3 linked regions of the Drosophila melanogaster genome follow. The gene in region 3 interacts genetically with the main gene of each other region. Each region holds a gene or a part of one and is shown on either strand. Other genes may lie near its edges. The genes, in order: sv, bnl and seq.

The links.
Region 1: of seq (region 3) and sv, changing one suppresses a phenotype caused by changing the other (phenotypic suppression), as found in Drosophila melanogaster (one study listed by BioGRID).
Region 2: of seq (region 3) and bnl, changing one suppresses a phenotype caused by changing the other (phenotypic suppression), as found in Drosophila melanogaster (one study listed by BioGRID).

What each region holds. Positions count from the first base shown.
Region 1 is NC_004353.4:1,086,986-1,092,428, forward strand, and holds the start of sv (shaven), read left to right. Parts: upstream 1-1,812; 5' UTR 1,813-2,077; intron 2,078-5,273; 5' UTR 5,274-5,300; coding exon 5,301-5,443.
Region 2 is NT_033777.3:19,833,516-19,839,175, reverse strand, and holds the start of bnl (branchless), read left to right. Parts: upstream 1-2,358; 5' UTR 2,359-2,914; intron 2,915-5,660.
Region 3 is NT_033778.4:13,186,576-13,192,363, reverse strand, and holds the start of seq (sequoia), read left to right. Parts: upstream 1-2,277; 5' UTR 2,278-2,803; intron 2,804-3,110; exon of another isoform or gene 3,111-3,276; intron 3,277-4,455; exon of another isoform or gene 4,456-4,538; coding exon of another isoform or gene 4,539-4,970; intron 4,971-5,044; coding exon of another isoform or gene 5,045-5,383; intron 5,384-5,441; coding exon of another isoform or gene 5,442-5,764; intron 5,765-5,788. Other genes in the region: Kdm4B (lysine demethylase 4B), read left to right, coding at 4,539-4,970, 5,045-5,383, 5,442-5,764.

The sequences.
Region 1 (5,443 bases), on a different chromosome or scaffold from region 3:
AATAATAATATTTAAGATCATTGAACTTTTGCTAGTGACTTAACACCAGTTTTGGTACTAATGCACGAATTAACCACGTAAGGAGTATATATAAGCAGAAAGGAAAATTAACAGAGGCGCGATCGAAGGGTAGGTTTTTTCCGGTTCGGTCTAACAGGTGTTTCACAAATAAAGCGCGGGCAACCGTCCAAGACATTTCCTTCGATCGCAAAAGAATTCAAGGGATGACGGTAAATGAACACCTGAATATTCTGTTGTGTACACTACATAATTCTGTAACATATTATTATACCCGTTACTCGTAGAATAAAAGATAGATTCGTTGATAAGTATGTAACAGTTAGAAGAAAGCGTTTTCGACCATGTAAAGTATATATATCTTGATCAGGATCAATAGCCGAGTCGATCTGACCCTGTCCGCTTGTTGCTTCCAGAGACAAAGACGCACGGCAACGTCACTCTTTGATTTTTCAATATATTTAACAATATTTTGACATAAATGATAAAAGTTAAATCTTATTCTGATGTCTTTTCAGTCCCCTTTAAAGAGGACAAGTGGCTAGTAATATTGACTAAGTATGTTTATAAACTAATAGATTTCATAAATGAAAAAAAACTTTGTATTTGTATTTGTTTTTTTTATACGATAGTAACACCAGTCAGCTCTAAATTTTGAAACGGTTGAGTAATCTCTCTTCTCCCTTTCGTGTAGTTTGCAACGGTAGTCGAAGATTGCTTGGCACGCGCCGTCTTCTCTTTAATAGTTTGAGTACCAGCAGCCTGCTTTAGATCGTCGTTCAGGGATGCCAATTTAACTTTTTCTTGGTTTCACTACTCTGACGAAAATGTGGATTATTTTTGTATGCATGGAAGCATAGAAACAATATATGTATGTGTATATCATAAGGTAGTGCCGACTGTACTCCTAGTACACCTATGTATATTAAACGATTTATTTACAAACGTATATTACACATTTTCAAATATGTATGTATAAATATTTGTTCGCTTGTCAACCTGTAGAATGCAGGTCACTCAATGTAACAATACGCGATCCAGACGGTTAAAAGGGGGTTGATTACTTATGTATATAAACTGACTTAGCTTCCGTTCAACAAAATGTAGTTACTTCAAATTTAATACATAGTCTTGCGTTCACTTTTCGAGAGCCTGTTGTTAAATGCCAAAAGATAACACCTTTATATGTATCTAATAATAGGAATATTAAACCGGAACCAATAAATATAGGCCTTTAGTGGAAAACAATTAGACAAATATGGGTCAGCTGGACCTTAGGAAACTTTAAGCAGTCAGGACTGTAGGGTTATGAGATTGAGGTTTGACAGATATAAAAAAGAACGATCATAATCAGGGATATACCAAACGCTTCGAAGCGCTTTCTTCTTCCTTACAACGAATTTAGAATACCCATTTCCTATACGAGTAACGGGTATAAGCACTCCAACACTCTGATCATTAAGACCAAACAGGGGAAAACAAGAATACCATCTCATCCCTTCTCATTCAGTGACTTTAACTAATTTGTTCTCTTTCCTTTTCTCTATCACTCGTTCTGTTTGAAGCGGCGATCGTATTTCAAACCCAGCTTTTGCATCCGAACAACACGCTATGTCTCCCGATTAGTCGACCGCCAGTTGAGTGCGAATGTAGCCGACCAACCGTAAAGCCGCCTTGGGCCAAGTTTTGAGAGCGACTCAAACATATAAGCCATCATAAACACACTCAAAAAAGTGGTCGGCTGAGTTTGAGCGATGTAAACTGCTTCCGTCGTCCATTGCCATTCAACAATTTAGTTTCGCTCGAGATCTCTTGGCGTACGCTTCAAGATCCACCTGGAAATCGTGTTGCTTCGTGGATTTTTAGCCAACAGGTGGTTCGCGCTGTCTTTTTTACCTTTCAAGGCTTAGATTCCTTGACTCAGTGATGTTGTTAGTGTATAAATTCGTATTTGAACGTTTTCACTACCTTAACTGAGTGACGCTAAATAACTAATAATTTATTGAAATTCTTTAAAACAATTATATGTTAACCAATCTTTATAAAACGAAAATATTCAGTGAGTAAACTAATGCATAGTTTTAAATATATTAAGGTAAAAATAATTCCTTAATCATCCAAGTTATATAACATTAAACACTTAAGGCGCTTGAGCTCGGCTTTAAATATACTCCGAATTTGAACAGCTTATATTTACCCACGCTCCTGACCTTGGAATACTTGTTTTCTTTGTTTTCCTCGACTGTCTTAACTAAAAATTCTGGCTCCCCATAGCTATTATTCGGCTGGAGTGTGTGAAAATACAATTATTTTTCCCACTTTTAATTTTGTTGAATTGAATGAAGTATGGGTTTTATTCTGCCTGAATACCAGTTGGTAATGAAAATAACAAATTGTAGAAGCTCCAATGACCTCGTAACAGGACCGCTGTGCCCGACCGTGACTTTTAACTATATACTTCCAAATTCATTTAAAATTAATTTATAAAAAAAATTTAAAATTAATTAATTTTTTATTTATTATTATTATTATCAACAAGAAAATGTGTATATCGAATTCGAGCCCTTTATTCGAATTCGAACACAACAACAAAACTACAAAACTTGTACTACTAAACTTGTACTAACTAACTACTACCTGTTACTAATAGAGTAAAAGGGTACACCAGATTCGTTGAAAAGTTGAAAGGTAGATGGAAGTGTTTCCGACCATATAAAGTATATATATTCTTGATCAGAATCAATAGCCGAATCGATCTGACCTTGTCCGTATGTCCGTGTGTCCGTCTGACAGTCTGTCCGTCCGTATGAACGTCGAGATCTCAGGAACTACAAAAGCTAGAAGGTTGAGATTAAGCATACAGATTCTAGAGACATACACGCAGCACAAGGTATTGCCACGCCAACTGTTACGCCCAAAACTGCCACGCCATTGAAATATATTTTGAAATTTGTTCATATTTGTTTCCTAAATTTCTATCGATTTGCCATGCCCACTCTTACGCGTACAAACCGTTTAGAACTGCCACGCCCACATATTTGCAAAATGATATTTTTTCATATTTTCTTTAGTTTTTGTAAATTTATATCTACATTTTCTTTTTGCAACGCCCGCTGTTACGCCTACAAGCCGCCCAAGACTGCTACGACCACATTTTTGACCAAATTTTAAATTTTTTCTCATTTTTATCATTAAAAAAATAAGAAATGCGTTAGCTGAGTAACGGGTATCTGATAGTCGCGGAAGTCGACTGTAGGATTCTCTCTTGTTTTTTAAATTAATTTTCCTCGTGAATTATAAAAGCGGTGCAAGCTTGTTTCATACCTGTGCCACGCAGGCACTATATGTATTTTGATTTTTTATTGATTTTATTTTTTTGTCATTCTAATTTTTATCGACGAACCCCAAAATGTTCTCATAAAAAAATGGCTCCAATGTTATTAAACATTGCTGCTACTAGCTGATTAATAGGTATCTGATAGTCGGGGAACTCGACTTTAGCGCTCTTTCATTTTAGGCTATTTAGGAAACAATAAATGTAGAAAGAAAGCAGATGGCCTAAACGAACACATTTATTCCCATACCCATACACGTAGCTGACTCGATCATTTAGCTATATTGACCCTTAGGGGAGTGTCAGTCCCAAAAAGGTCAATTAACAACAGGTGAATAAGTGCTAGCAACCACGTTTGCGCGGGTTAAGGCTTCATTCGGCGGGAAGAAAGTGCACCTTGCCCTGGATAACAAGAGCGGATAGTGAAATAGTGAAATATATGTGTGCCATTGAAAGGTACGAATCACAAGAAAGATTGCTATAGTCAAGTTGGCCGACTATTAGATACCCGTTACGCAGCTAGTGGAAATGCCAAAGAGAAAATTTCATAAATTTTGGCTAAGCGATAAATATTGTGGAATAAAATTACTAAAAATTAAAAAAATGCTTATAAGTCTAAGCTCTTTGTTATAATAAAATTAATAAAATTATGAAAAAATATCCAAAAATTCTTCAAAAATGTAATCGAGGCAATTTTGTTTGTGGGCGTGGCAACAGGGGGGTATGTCTCTAGAATCTGTATGCTGAATCTCAACCTTCTAGCTTTTATAGTTCCTGAGATCTCGACGTTCATAGGGACAGACTGGCAAGGCCAGATCGGCTCGGCTATTGATCCTGATCAAGAATATATACACTATATATAGTCGGAGACGCTTCCTTCTGTCTGTTACACACTTTTCACAAAATCTTGTATACCCTTTCACTCTACGAGTAACGGGTATAAAAATATCATAATTTGGTCTGTTACTCGTAGAGTAAAATTAGTTGAAAAGTATGTAACAGGCAGAACGGATCGTTTCCTACCGTATGAAATACATACATTCTTGATCAGGATCAACAATCTGGCCATGGTCTGAACGCAGTGATCTAGGTAACTCTAATAGAAAGAAACGATTAAGATTAACAAGCAAATTTTAGAGCCACCTTCGCTGTATGATTTTTTTCCCAGCACTCACACTAGCTGAGTAACGAGTTTTTGATAGTCGAGGAAATCAACTTTAAAATTTCTAGTTATTCATAAATATGCCAAATCGGGATATACCATTTATATAAAAATACATTAATTTAGTTCATAGTTTCGCGTTTTCCATCATAAAATGCTCTTATTTGAATGTATCACTTTAAAACTTTCTTTATATATAGCTCGGTTGATTTAGTTCATTTATTAAAGCCATTACGTGTTGATTCGTTGAAAAGCAGAAGTGTTTTCGATCTTATAAAATATATATTCATAACTGTCTAGACGAGTCGATCTACAGATTCTAGTTGTAGTCATACGGCAAGATTATTTTAGATAATGAAGGCGTCCGCCACCCAACGCCTATAAACTTTCAGAAGCGTTATGACACATTAAAAAAAGAAAATTATTTTTTGTCATTTTACTAGTTGTGTTACCAAACATTTTGACTACGCCCACTCTATCACCCACAAACCGCGACGATAAGTGAAATATCTGATAGTCGAGCCATTCGACTATAGCATTTCCTGCTTGCCTTTAAAACAGTTTGAATGTCATTGCCGAATAAAATACATAACATTTGTTGTTAATTACACTTTAAGCAGAAGAATTTGATGAACTAACCAACAATTGTTTTGTGCAGACATATCCATTCCTTGCATAACTGCATAGGTCAACTGCTTTGGCTACGCTAATATCTCGTTGCTTTCATAATAAAAGAACCCACAATTTTCTGTATTCCAGGAACTTATACATTTTGTTGAATCTTTGATGCTTATAATGGATATACAGACATCGACACATCATATCCATGGGCTCGGAACACATGAGCTCCAACATCGTATTTTACATCCACACATTCTACATTCAACTCAAGAAGAAACCCTTAATACAAGTACAGGCCAGCTAGAGCA
Region 2 (5,660 bases), on a different chromosome or scaffold from region 3:
ACACTCGACTGGCGGGCTAATTAAGTCATTAGCCCGAAAATGTCCTGCTGCTGCTGCTGCCGCTGCTTCTGCGCATAATTAATCATTTTAATTGTCTGACTCCTTGCTAAAGGACAAGGGGAAACCAAGGGACAATGTGGAAAGTGCAAAGGGCAGATCGACATTCCAAAGGTTGCCCTCGAAAACTGCGGGGGAGTTCTCGCTGTTGTTGGTTATTTATTGGAATAGGCACATTTGGCATGTGCTTCCCCGCGTTTCACCAGGCGTCAAATTCTCGGGCACAAAATGTTTTCATTCCGGTTAATTGAGTTAATTGAGTTTTGAGGCAACCCTTTTTCTGTGGCCTGGCGAAATCACTTAGGCCACTTACGAGCAAGCATTTAGAAATACATTTGAAAACTAAATTAAACACAGGGTCTAAGTAAATTTGCTTATTTCGAAGTATGCAACTTTAGCATGGCTTTACTCGCGCTTCAAGTGATATATTTAAACTCAATATTCTAAATTCAAACTGTTTAAAATTTACAATTTGGACAGATCTACATAGGTACTATTTCTAAACAAGCAAAAGCGCAGTCCACAAAATTCTTAATATGTTTCATAAATCATTTCTACACAACATAATCTAACAAATATTTTCAAAAAATTGTAAGTACCAAACACGATAGATGACACGATAAACAATATTTTATGGCTTTAATAAACAACATTGCCTTCTCAAAACTGCTACTTTATAGCAGTTATATAGTCTTAGCGACAATGTAAAACTTTGCCAATCAGTAGCAAGCCCGCACTTTCCACCGGCAACACCCACCCACTGAATGACGCTGTCATCAAGAATGACGTAGGCGACTACCCCGGAATATTTCTGCAATTTCTGTAGTGTCAAGTTGAAGTTCATTCATACACACATATGGGTATCTGCACCATGTGATTTTTTATAAGCGCCTTCTAAATAGATAAGATAAACTTGTATTCAACGAAATTCGCGCATAGCTGCCTTAACTTTTAAATTTGCCGTGTGACAGTATTTTTGGGGCTAAATTTTGGTCAACATCTAAAATTAGCAAAAATTTCGGTTGGTCAGAAATAGGTTTTGTGGTTTATTGCAGCCACAGGCAAATGAGTTGGTCAAAGTTCAAACCTTATCAGTGCGAATACAACGATGCGATTAGCACCTATCGTGAGTTGGCTTTCCCACGCGACTGATTCACTGGCAATGTTTAGCCGAATAATAAAGGGTACTGGGTGACGCTTGTTGTTGCACTTTGTGTTGTTAGTTAATTGGTATTTGTGCAAGTCCACGCTACCTGGCGAAATACGTCAAAAGCACTGGAAAAGGTCTACGCGCCAAAAAGCACAACCGCCACCAAACGCAATCCAATCAAAAACAAAAAGCAACTGCAATCTCTCCCTTTCACAATGTCTGTTTGAAAACCGTCACGTGATTTGTCGCCGTCGACTTAGGGGGCTCATTATAGTGACAGAACTCTAACAAAAATTAGTAGACTACTGTATTTTATATATATATATATATATATTTTTTTTTTTATATATAGAACATTTTAGTTGAGCTTTATGTTCGAAAGTTGTTTTTCTAGTGACAGATAACACCTTGTAGCCTACATTGTGGCCCAAAAAATTTCAGAATTTTCGGTTAGATAGTTACCATGTAACCGTTTAAGATATTTAGAGTAAGAAAAAGTAGGCTTCATAAATGATTAAGATGACTACAGTTAACCACCCCAAACACTAACAGAATTTGTTTGTTTTACTTAAAATCCAAAAATAATTTTCTAAATACAACAAATAAGTACACAAAAAATAAAAAAAAATTGATTCATATTTTGCATTTAATGTTTGAGTACAATGTTGAGCTAGTAACACAGTAGTTTTTAACCACTCATTAAAATTTATAATTTATTCAGCTACAAAGTATAAATTAGCAACGAACGAAATACAAATCTTTTATAACGGTGTTTTTGATTCTGACGCTAATGTATGATGAATCAACGAGTTGGCAGCGTTTCAATCACTTGAGCCGCAGTTTCGTCAGATCGGAAGGATGAATTGGGAATAACAGATAAACCCCATATCACACCTAGGGAACCGACCGACCACCATTCACTACAGCTGACCACCGACCACCATTCTTGGCGTTTACCTTACTCGCCCACTACTTGCTCTCACTCTCTCCGTCTCCCTCCCGCCGAACCGCACCGCATCGCACTCTCTCTCTCGTGCTCGTTCCGTCGCAAACGTGCTCGGCGTGAACGCACGAAGCGTCGCCTCATCGACAGGGTCTTTTTGCTCATGGCTTCAGTCTCTGACTAGCACGCTTGGGGAACACACAGTGAGCGGAGCGTCCGCAGTCGCAGTAGCACTCGAAGTCCGCTTATCCGCATCCGCAGCGTTTTCGAATTTTTCAGACCTACCATTCGATCCGATCCGATCCATCTGGCACATCCTAACCATCTCTAATCGTAACCCCATCATCGTGATCGCGTCCGTAATCGCTCCGTTTTAACGTACTCGATGTTCCGGTTTTGTGTGCAATCGTTTTCAAAGGAGATCGAAACAATAATCTCGGCGGATAGGAAATTTGAAACACGAATGTTCGTTTCGCAATCCAAGAGAGTCGTTACAATTTGAAAAGCCCGCAATAAAAAAAAAAAATCGTTTAGATGCGAGCAATTCGAAGATCGGAAAATATATAAAAAAATAAATATATATATATGATTTGTGCTGTGTTTGAAAAAGGAATATAAGAAAAAAATTATGAAAATGTTGAATTGTTGTTGCCGTAAGTTTTAAAGTGTGCAAAGTGCAACTCTCTGAAAATCAACGAAGAATACAACGCGTCCAAAAAAAGAATCGTAAAACTGAAAAAAAAGCAAACAAACATAAAACCTAGGTGCGTAATTTTCTGTTTCAACGCTGTTACATAAGTTCTTTTTTTTAATAAGTTTGTTGTTCCTCCAAGTATTTGTTCGAATGTTGCAAAATATTTCATTGGATTTCGGTCTTTGGAGCTTAGCAAAAGCAAGCCTAAAATTATTGAAAGTTTCAAGTTTGCCGAACGGAAAAAATATATGTTTTTCTGTATTATTAGATTTGATGTTTTGAAATACTAAAATTTATAAAGAGTTTCAGTGTTCTTTGGTCGCGCAATGTTGGGCATTTAAATAAAATATTTTGAATACGTTGAAATGTGGCAATTTGTTTGGTAACTTTCAAAATAAATTTAAAACATTTTCCACTTGGCAGCGGGCCGAGTAATAAGTGTATTTAAATGACCCACGAGGGAAAGTAATTAAATAGCAATATGTATAAAAACGAAATAAATTGATTTCAACAAACAAATAGCAAGCTAAAGCAAATGGGCAAAAACTTAATTTATATTAGTGGCATGCTAATTGAAATAATTTAGTTCATATTTGATTTGATTGATCAATACCTGTGCAGAATGATATTCACTTAAAACGTAATCTGATTGCATTTAGGTATAAGCGAATTAAATTTGATTTGCAGCCTAGTTTTTCCAAGTACTTTTCCGCGTTTATCTGCCCCAAATAAACAATTGGTAAAGCAAACAAAATGTAGCAAAATGTTTTTTTTTGCCAACCGGTGAAAGCAAACGACCTTAGGAGAACCCACTCTATGAAAGCGAAATTCATATAAATTTAAGCACACGATCTTTGGGATTATTTATAGTTTTTTTTTTTGCAAAACGCATATACATTTGCGAATCTTTATCGCCGTCTTGAAATGTATCTGTATCTGCGTATATGCGAATTGTGCGTATCTCTATTTGCAAACGCACGCAGGCGCTTTTAATCTCATTTCGCTAACTTTTTCGCAATAAACTTTTTTTCTGCTCACTCTGCGCGTGCACTTTTTGTCCTATAAATTGGCGGCGCTGACTATTATCTAACATTTGTGCGCTATTATCTAAGCTGGCTTGTTGTTCTTGTTCTTCCTGCGGATGATTTGCGCTGCGTATCTGTATCTGTATTTTGTATCTGTGTGCGAATTTGCGTTATTGCCGCACGCTAGTATGCGTCGGGTTCAACAACTGCTAATCACATGCCGGATCACAGTTTGGACAGCCGAGCGACAGACAAAGTGCGAAATATGGGGATCGCGATAAAGAATAAACTGAATGAATTTCGGCTGTGTGGACTAGCGGGTGATATCCTTCAAAATTAATGGCAGCGAAGAGTGCTTAACTCAAATCAGGGTCATTATTTGTAGAAGCTATTAACTATTTGGTATTTTCAGATTTTTTCTGGTCATTTTTCAAACTTATCTGGGGTCTAGGGAAAATATTAAAATTTTGGTTTATTACCTTTTACTTTCCTTTCATAACTTTTTTATTGGTTTACAATTGTTCCAGCAATAAGGGCTATTAGTTAGTATTATAATCAAGTTAATCTTTTTTGCTAACTTACATAAGCCATAATAAATCTTATCTTCTAATTCTAATTGTATAACTTATTAATAACCAAAAATAAGCGATAAAGATTCATACATTAATTATACATAATTGAATTGTGCCTCTTCAAATGCCGATCAAATTTTATTTCCTTTGCCGTTAAAGTTCTCACGTCACAATTTCATCAACTAAAAAATGAATATCCCCCAAGGGCAAAGAAAATAATTGGCTAATTGTTTAGTACCGCTTACGAAACGGTTTCTGGCTACGTCAACGATTGAATAATTGAAAAGACCACCGTAAATTTAGACATTAAGACATCAGTTTATGCAGAAAAACCAATTGAAGTGATTAAATTGCATGGGCAGTCCCGAATTAATTGAAAAGTAAATTTATATTTTGGTAGTAAAAGAGTTGCGCGTGGAATTTATATTTCCCCGGAGACTGTCGTGCATGCCTTCGGACTTCAGATGTCATAAAGCCAGCCAATTATCAGGTTTAGTTCTGAAACGCACGAGTTGGGTAACTTTTCGCTTGGGCCTGTGACACATTTACAAATTGTGCCTGATTGATGGGGCAGCAAGCCCAGTGGAGCCAAAGTTTGAAATACAACGATCATAATTCGTAGATAGATAAAGCTTATCGCATGCAAAAGAAAAAAGTTTTATGGCCGTGCGTAAATAGTTTTGCGGTTTGTTTTTCTTTTTGCCCAAAAGTGGCGCATAACACTCGGAATATAAAGTCAACCGAAGTCGGCGAAAGAAGGCGGAAAATGCGGGAAACTCAGTAAAAATGTAGCGTTTGTTTTAATTAAGCGTGAACACTAGACCACATAATGTGCGGCATACATTTAGAGACGCACACACACGATCGCACATGGCAACAGCTTTAGGTACACCGCTCAGTTAAAAAGCGAGCAACAAAAAGGCAAAATGAAAACGAGAAAATCGTCGCGTATTTTACTCAGGTTGTTGTTATTCTTGTTGTTTCTCTTTTTTTTTTGACGGTTTTCCTTCTTTTTTTACACATATATATATATTTTTTTTTTGGTTGTTTGACGCATTTTAAAAATATCCTAGACGCAATTGTTGTTTTGTTGGCTGTCTGTTTGTCACATTACTAATACGTCGCGTTGTCTTTGATTTCGTCGTTTTCGGTTGGTTTTATTTTAAAACGACGGTTTTCCTTTTAATTTTCGCACGTAAAGTGCGTGACTTTTAATTAG
Region 3 (5,788 bases):
CGAATTACGAAAAAAAATAGGAAATGCCCTCTTTTATCCCCAATAAACATAAAAAATAAGAATTTTAATCAGTCGATTTTAAAAAGAAAGTAAATTTCTCCAACTTTTTACAAATGTAAAAATCCCACTGTGCGGCTTCGTCGCGCGTGCTTAGCGTCACAAAAGGATATAAACAGGCAACTGGCAGCAGGAACAACTACAGCAGCTACAACTACAACAAGAACAACAACAACAACGACGAGCGGCAGGAACAAGCATAGAAAAAAGCATAAATAATCTTGTAGCTGTTGTCGCAGCTGAGGCGAAGCCGAGCTCGAATTGAAATTTTGTGAGAAATTGTGCTGAAGAGAAATGCCTTGTGAAATCACACGAGGCACAGGACGAATGTGTGTGCGTGCGTGTGTGTGTTTGTAAAATGGAATATAAAATGACAGGCGGAGTGGTTTGGTGTTGGAGGGGGGCGCGGTGGGAATGTGGAAAAAGGGGACGCGCATTATGGCGGTTCTCCGTGTGTTCTTCATCGACGACGTCATCGGCAGTTGTTGTTGTTGTTGTTGTTGTTGCTGCTACTGCTGTTGGTTCCTGTTTTCGCTTTTTACCGTTCAGTCAATGACCACATTGTGTACACAACTGCACTGTTAGTATGTGTGTGTGTGAGCCATTCCTGCCGGAAGTTGAAGCCGCCGCCTGGTCATTCTCGCTGCTTGGCTGCAAGCTCTCTCTCTTTCGTCCTTTTCCGCTCGTCCTCTCTCTGTTTCTCTCTATCTCTCTCCTGCTCTCTCTCTGTGGGTTATGCCTGAGTTGCTTTGGACAAGTTTTGAGGACAGGATCCTTGGACACCCCGCCACTTTTTGTTTCTTTCGTTTCAAGTCCTGCCGAGCAGTGTGACCGTTCTTTTGTGCTCTGGTCACGCTTTGATCCTGCCGTTAGCCGCTCCCCCAAGCTCCATTTTCCCATAGGCGTCGCCGGGCTAATGACATGTTGTAAATTATACTACCACGGGGCATTCCTTTCACCGTTTCAAGCTGCTGTAATTACTCAGCCCGGTTTCCTTTTTTTGTTCCTCTCCTTCACTCCCCGTCCTGTTTTATTATTTTGCGTCGGTTTTTGTATGGGTTTTCTGCACACAGGATGCAAGAAACCTTGTTATCGAAACGCTATCACATAATTGCTCGATGCAGTTGCAGATGTGCTTATTTGTATTCGCTAAGCGCATATGCCATTAAATTGAACATTATAGGGGATTTACTAAATTATGCTTTTGCGCTTGGGGGAAATTAATGTCCTTAACAGTTGCAACAATATGACATTTTCTTATTAACGAAATTATTGAGAAATATAGTTGAGGGCGTTATGATTTAAAAGATATAATGCGATCGGCTTGGAAATTATAATTCTATTTAAATGGTACTAATTCTGCAAACGGAGTTCACAGGATCAAGCTTAAATGTGTAATACATTTAAAATGGAAAATCTATCGAAAACACTATATAAAAAGCATTAGATTGAAATTGGCTAGCATAAAAGTAAACAAACAATTATTCCAAACGAGCCATTGCTCTGAACGCTATTTGTTGGTTTTGCAATTATTATACAAATATGCAATTATTAAGTACGAGACACACGAAGCCGTCTCAAGTGAGAGAGTCCTTGCGACCCGTCTCAAGTGGATCCTCAACCTCTAGCCTCTGTATCTGTCGTTTACCTACAAACGATCACTGGCGATCCGGGATCAGTAAAGTCCTAGATTAGATCTTCGCCAAAATCCGAAATCCGTGCCAGGACAATGCATAATGAGGATTAAGTCCTTTGCGATTTCTCTGACTGCTTACTGAGATGCAGAGAAAGAGAGAGAATGTGCGAATGGATTCACGATTCGCGATGGCGAATGCATTTTTCCTTTCGCCACATTTGCTTTTCGCAATGAAACTAAAGAGGAGGAAAAAGGCATTGTTCGATCCACGAATGAATAGAGGAAAAAGGAGGAGCGATTAAAACTGCCAGTTTTCCACACGGCTTGCATTTCCCTATCCACAATTATCCTGTCAAACTTGTTTGCGCCGTCTCCCTCTTGCTCTACACCAATTTTCCTTTCGCATTATGCTTTGACCAGAGCATTCGCATTAAAAGGACAACGCTCTTGTGCGGCGCGACTGTGTGTGCGTGAGCGTGTCTGTGTTGCGTGCTTGCTGTGTGTGTGAGTGCGAGTGCGAGTGCGAGCGAAGAGCGAGTTCTTTCGACGCCTGCGTCGCCATCGTCCTGGCATCGAACTGGCGTTCAGTCGACGCTTGCCACTCAGACCGCTCAGACATGTCGCGCCCGTCGTGAGTGCCAGTTAGCCATCCACATTAATATACATATATATAAATTAACATCCTCGAAGAGAGAGAGCAGCAGCCATCAAGTCGAAGACTGTGTAAAACGCAAAACAACGACGCCATCAGATGTTGCAGGATAACATAAAATAATACCAAAGCTAAATCATTCTACAAGAATTGCAAAACCCAGAAAATAGTGCTCAAGTGTATCGTATAAAACATCAAATTGTGCAAATTAGTTACAGTTAGTTAAAACGCCAGCAGAAGTTTCATATGCAAATACACAAAAAATAATGTGCAATAAACTACAAATCACTTCAAACAAAGGCAACGCAGCAGCATCCAAAACGTTAGTCACATCCAGTTGGAGTTGCTCATATAGTCATAAAAGTACTTTTGACATTTTGTTGGGATTTACGCATGGAGAACACCGAATAAACTAGAGAAGCAGAACTAAAAAAAAAACCCATCAAAGCACATCACAAGTGAGTTCCAAATTTCGTCCTTTCACAAACACACTCACATATTCGTAAACACACATACACACATGCATACGCACTCGCTGCATTGCGACTCGCCCATGTCGAATCTCCTCTGTAGCGAGTATATCCTGCCCGCTCACTCGCTCTTCCCACCATATTTGCTCTCTCCTTGTTAACTAGCATATAGTTTTGCGCACTCGTCAGCTCCCCCCTCTCAGTTATCCCGTTACCCCTCCCCTTCCCCAACATCGTCGGCTCTCCGCTCTCGTTCGGTTTTGGTCTTCTCGCTCTCTGAAATTCTCGGGTGGTGGTACAGTTTTCTACGTGGTCGAAAAATTGCGTAAATTTTCATCTAGTGCTCTGGGATGTCTCGCACAGCGTTGTCCTCGTTATCGTTATCCTTGCTGTTCCTCTGGCCTGCAGAGCTTTCAGTCTGCTTGTACGGAAAATAGGAAAAACAAACGGAAAAACAATTGGTATTGGTATTGACTGGGAAAAAGATGTCGCCGGATTTGTGTCATTTGCTTATTGGGCGTTTTCAATCCCTATAAATGGCTTGCCGCGGGAATAACGGTTCGTCATGGGGCTCAATAATTAATTATCCCCTTCATCTTGATTTATTGTGTTTTTTTTTGGGAGGCTTATCGTATACAGAAATACACACAGAGAAATTTTTCAATCACGCATGACTTGTACTTTTGTTTTATTTTACGTTTTACACTCATCAATCATTTTATTTGGGATCTATAAAATGTAAACAAAATAGTTTTGCGAACTAGTCTTAAATAAATTTTAGTTCAATAATTTTGTATGCTAATTGTAACTATTAATTAAGTGATAGTGTGAAGACAAAGCGTCAATATTAGTAAAATTATTTTTTAAGTTATCCTAATCCTGCGGGGATCGTTTAAATATATTTCGTATGTTTACTTACATAGGAGTTTTAATTTTAATTAGTTTTTTAAATTTCGAATACCTGAATTTTACAACTTTTTGGCAAAGTTGTTTACATTTATCACAATCATCGATATATTATCAGCATAATTCAATTGTAATTTATAGCATAACTAAATCATTTAATATTTAATCGAAATAATTTTGTGGTAAGAAATGAATCGAATTTACCATTTTCAGGCAACATACATAATTTCCATATTACCGCTTATTCCTTTAACTCCCAATTTTTCAGCCGGTTGTGCATGAAATCTGATATACTTATTTAATTTACAACATTTCCTCGTAGTTAGTAAGGTTATCAAACGAACGATCATTGCACTTTTTATGGGTTCCTATGGGTTATTGCGGGTCCGGCTGGCCCATGAGGAAAACCACTCGAATGAAAGGGGCGGGGGAAACGGCAACTGCATATCCTGCCAGCCTCTATTCTCCTGCCAGTCGTCCTGCCTGCCTGCCTGCTGTTGTAGCTGCCGCGCCCATTAAAAAAAAAAAAGAAAACCTCGAAAAGTTGCAGCTGTTCCCTCAGCGCTCCTTCTCTGTTTGTTTTGTGACTGCCAGCCAGAATGCCGATCCCAAGCGATCCGATCGCTGAGCGCTTAGCGATGGGGCAGGCAGACGGGCTGATCATGAATGGCATCTGCCCGGGATTAATGGGCCGTGCACGGGAGTACGGAGTTTTAATGCTGCTTCTATCACAGTTCCAGATCGAAGCACCCTAGCTGTGAAAGAAGTGTCCGACAACAGGTCGGAATTGAAAAAAAAGAGAAAAACTGAGACGAGAATGAAAATGTCAGAGGTGCCACGCATCAAGGTCTTCCGACCCACCTGGGAGGAGTTCAAGGACTTTCCCAAGTACGTGGCCTACATGGAGTCCCAGGGTGCCCACAAAGCCGGTTTGGCCAAGGTGGTGCCTCCGCCGGAATGGGTGCCCCGTCGCAGTGGGTACGCCGATCTCGATGCTCTAAATGTCACAATTCCGGCGCCCATTTGCCAGGTGGTAACCGGCAAACAGGGATACTACCAGCAGATTAACATCCAGAAAAAGCCACTCACAGTTAAGCAGTTTAGCGAGTTGGCCAGCACCGAGCGTTACGCCACACCCAAACACTTTGACTTTGAGGATCTGGAGCGCAAATACTGGAAGAACATAACATATGTGGCGCCCATTTATGGGGCAGATGTCAGCGGAAGTATCACAGACACAGACCAGGATGTAAGTTCGTTAGGGTTAGGGTTTAGGTTTGGGCATTAGCTGATGATTCGTTGCCTTTGCCTTTGCCGTTGCAGAGCTGGAACATCAACCGGCTGGGCACAATTCTTGACTATGTCAACAAGGATTATAACATCCAGATAGACGGCGTGAACACAGCCTACTTGTACTTTGGCATGTGGAAGACGACCTTTGCATGGCACACGGAGGACATGGATCTCTATTCCATCAATTACTTACACTTTGGGGCGCCAAAGACGTGGTATGTGGTGCCGCCGGAGTGTGGTCGCAAATTGGAGAAGGTGGCCAACCAGTACTTTCCGGCCAGTTACAAGAATTGCAACGCATATTTGCGCCACAAGATGACGTTGATTTCACCACAGATTCTCAAGCAACATGACGTGCCCGTCAGTAAGGTGCGTTTATCGGTAGTAATCCTGTCCATAGTGGCCGTACTAAATCCGGCTCTTGCAGATCACGCAGGAGGCGGGCGAGATCATGATCACATTTCCGTTCGGCTATCATGCCGGCTTCAATCACGGCTTTAACTGTGCCGAGTCCACCAACTTTGCCATGGAGCGCTGGATCGAGTACGGCAAGCGGGCGGTGCAGTGCACCTGCAGCAACGATATGGTCAAGATCTCGATGGACACATTTGTCAAGCGCTTCCAAAGCGATCGCTACGATCTGTGGATGGAGGGGCGTGACGTGGGGCGGCATCCGGAGGATCCGCCAAACGCGGTGCTCAGTGCAGCACCCCTGCCACCACATCTCGATGTCTTGCTGTGTGATAAAAAGTAGGTTTCCTTGCGCTACTTGTG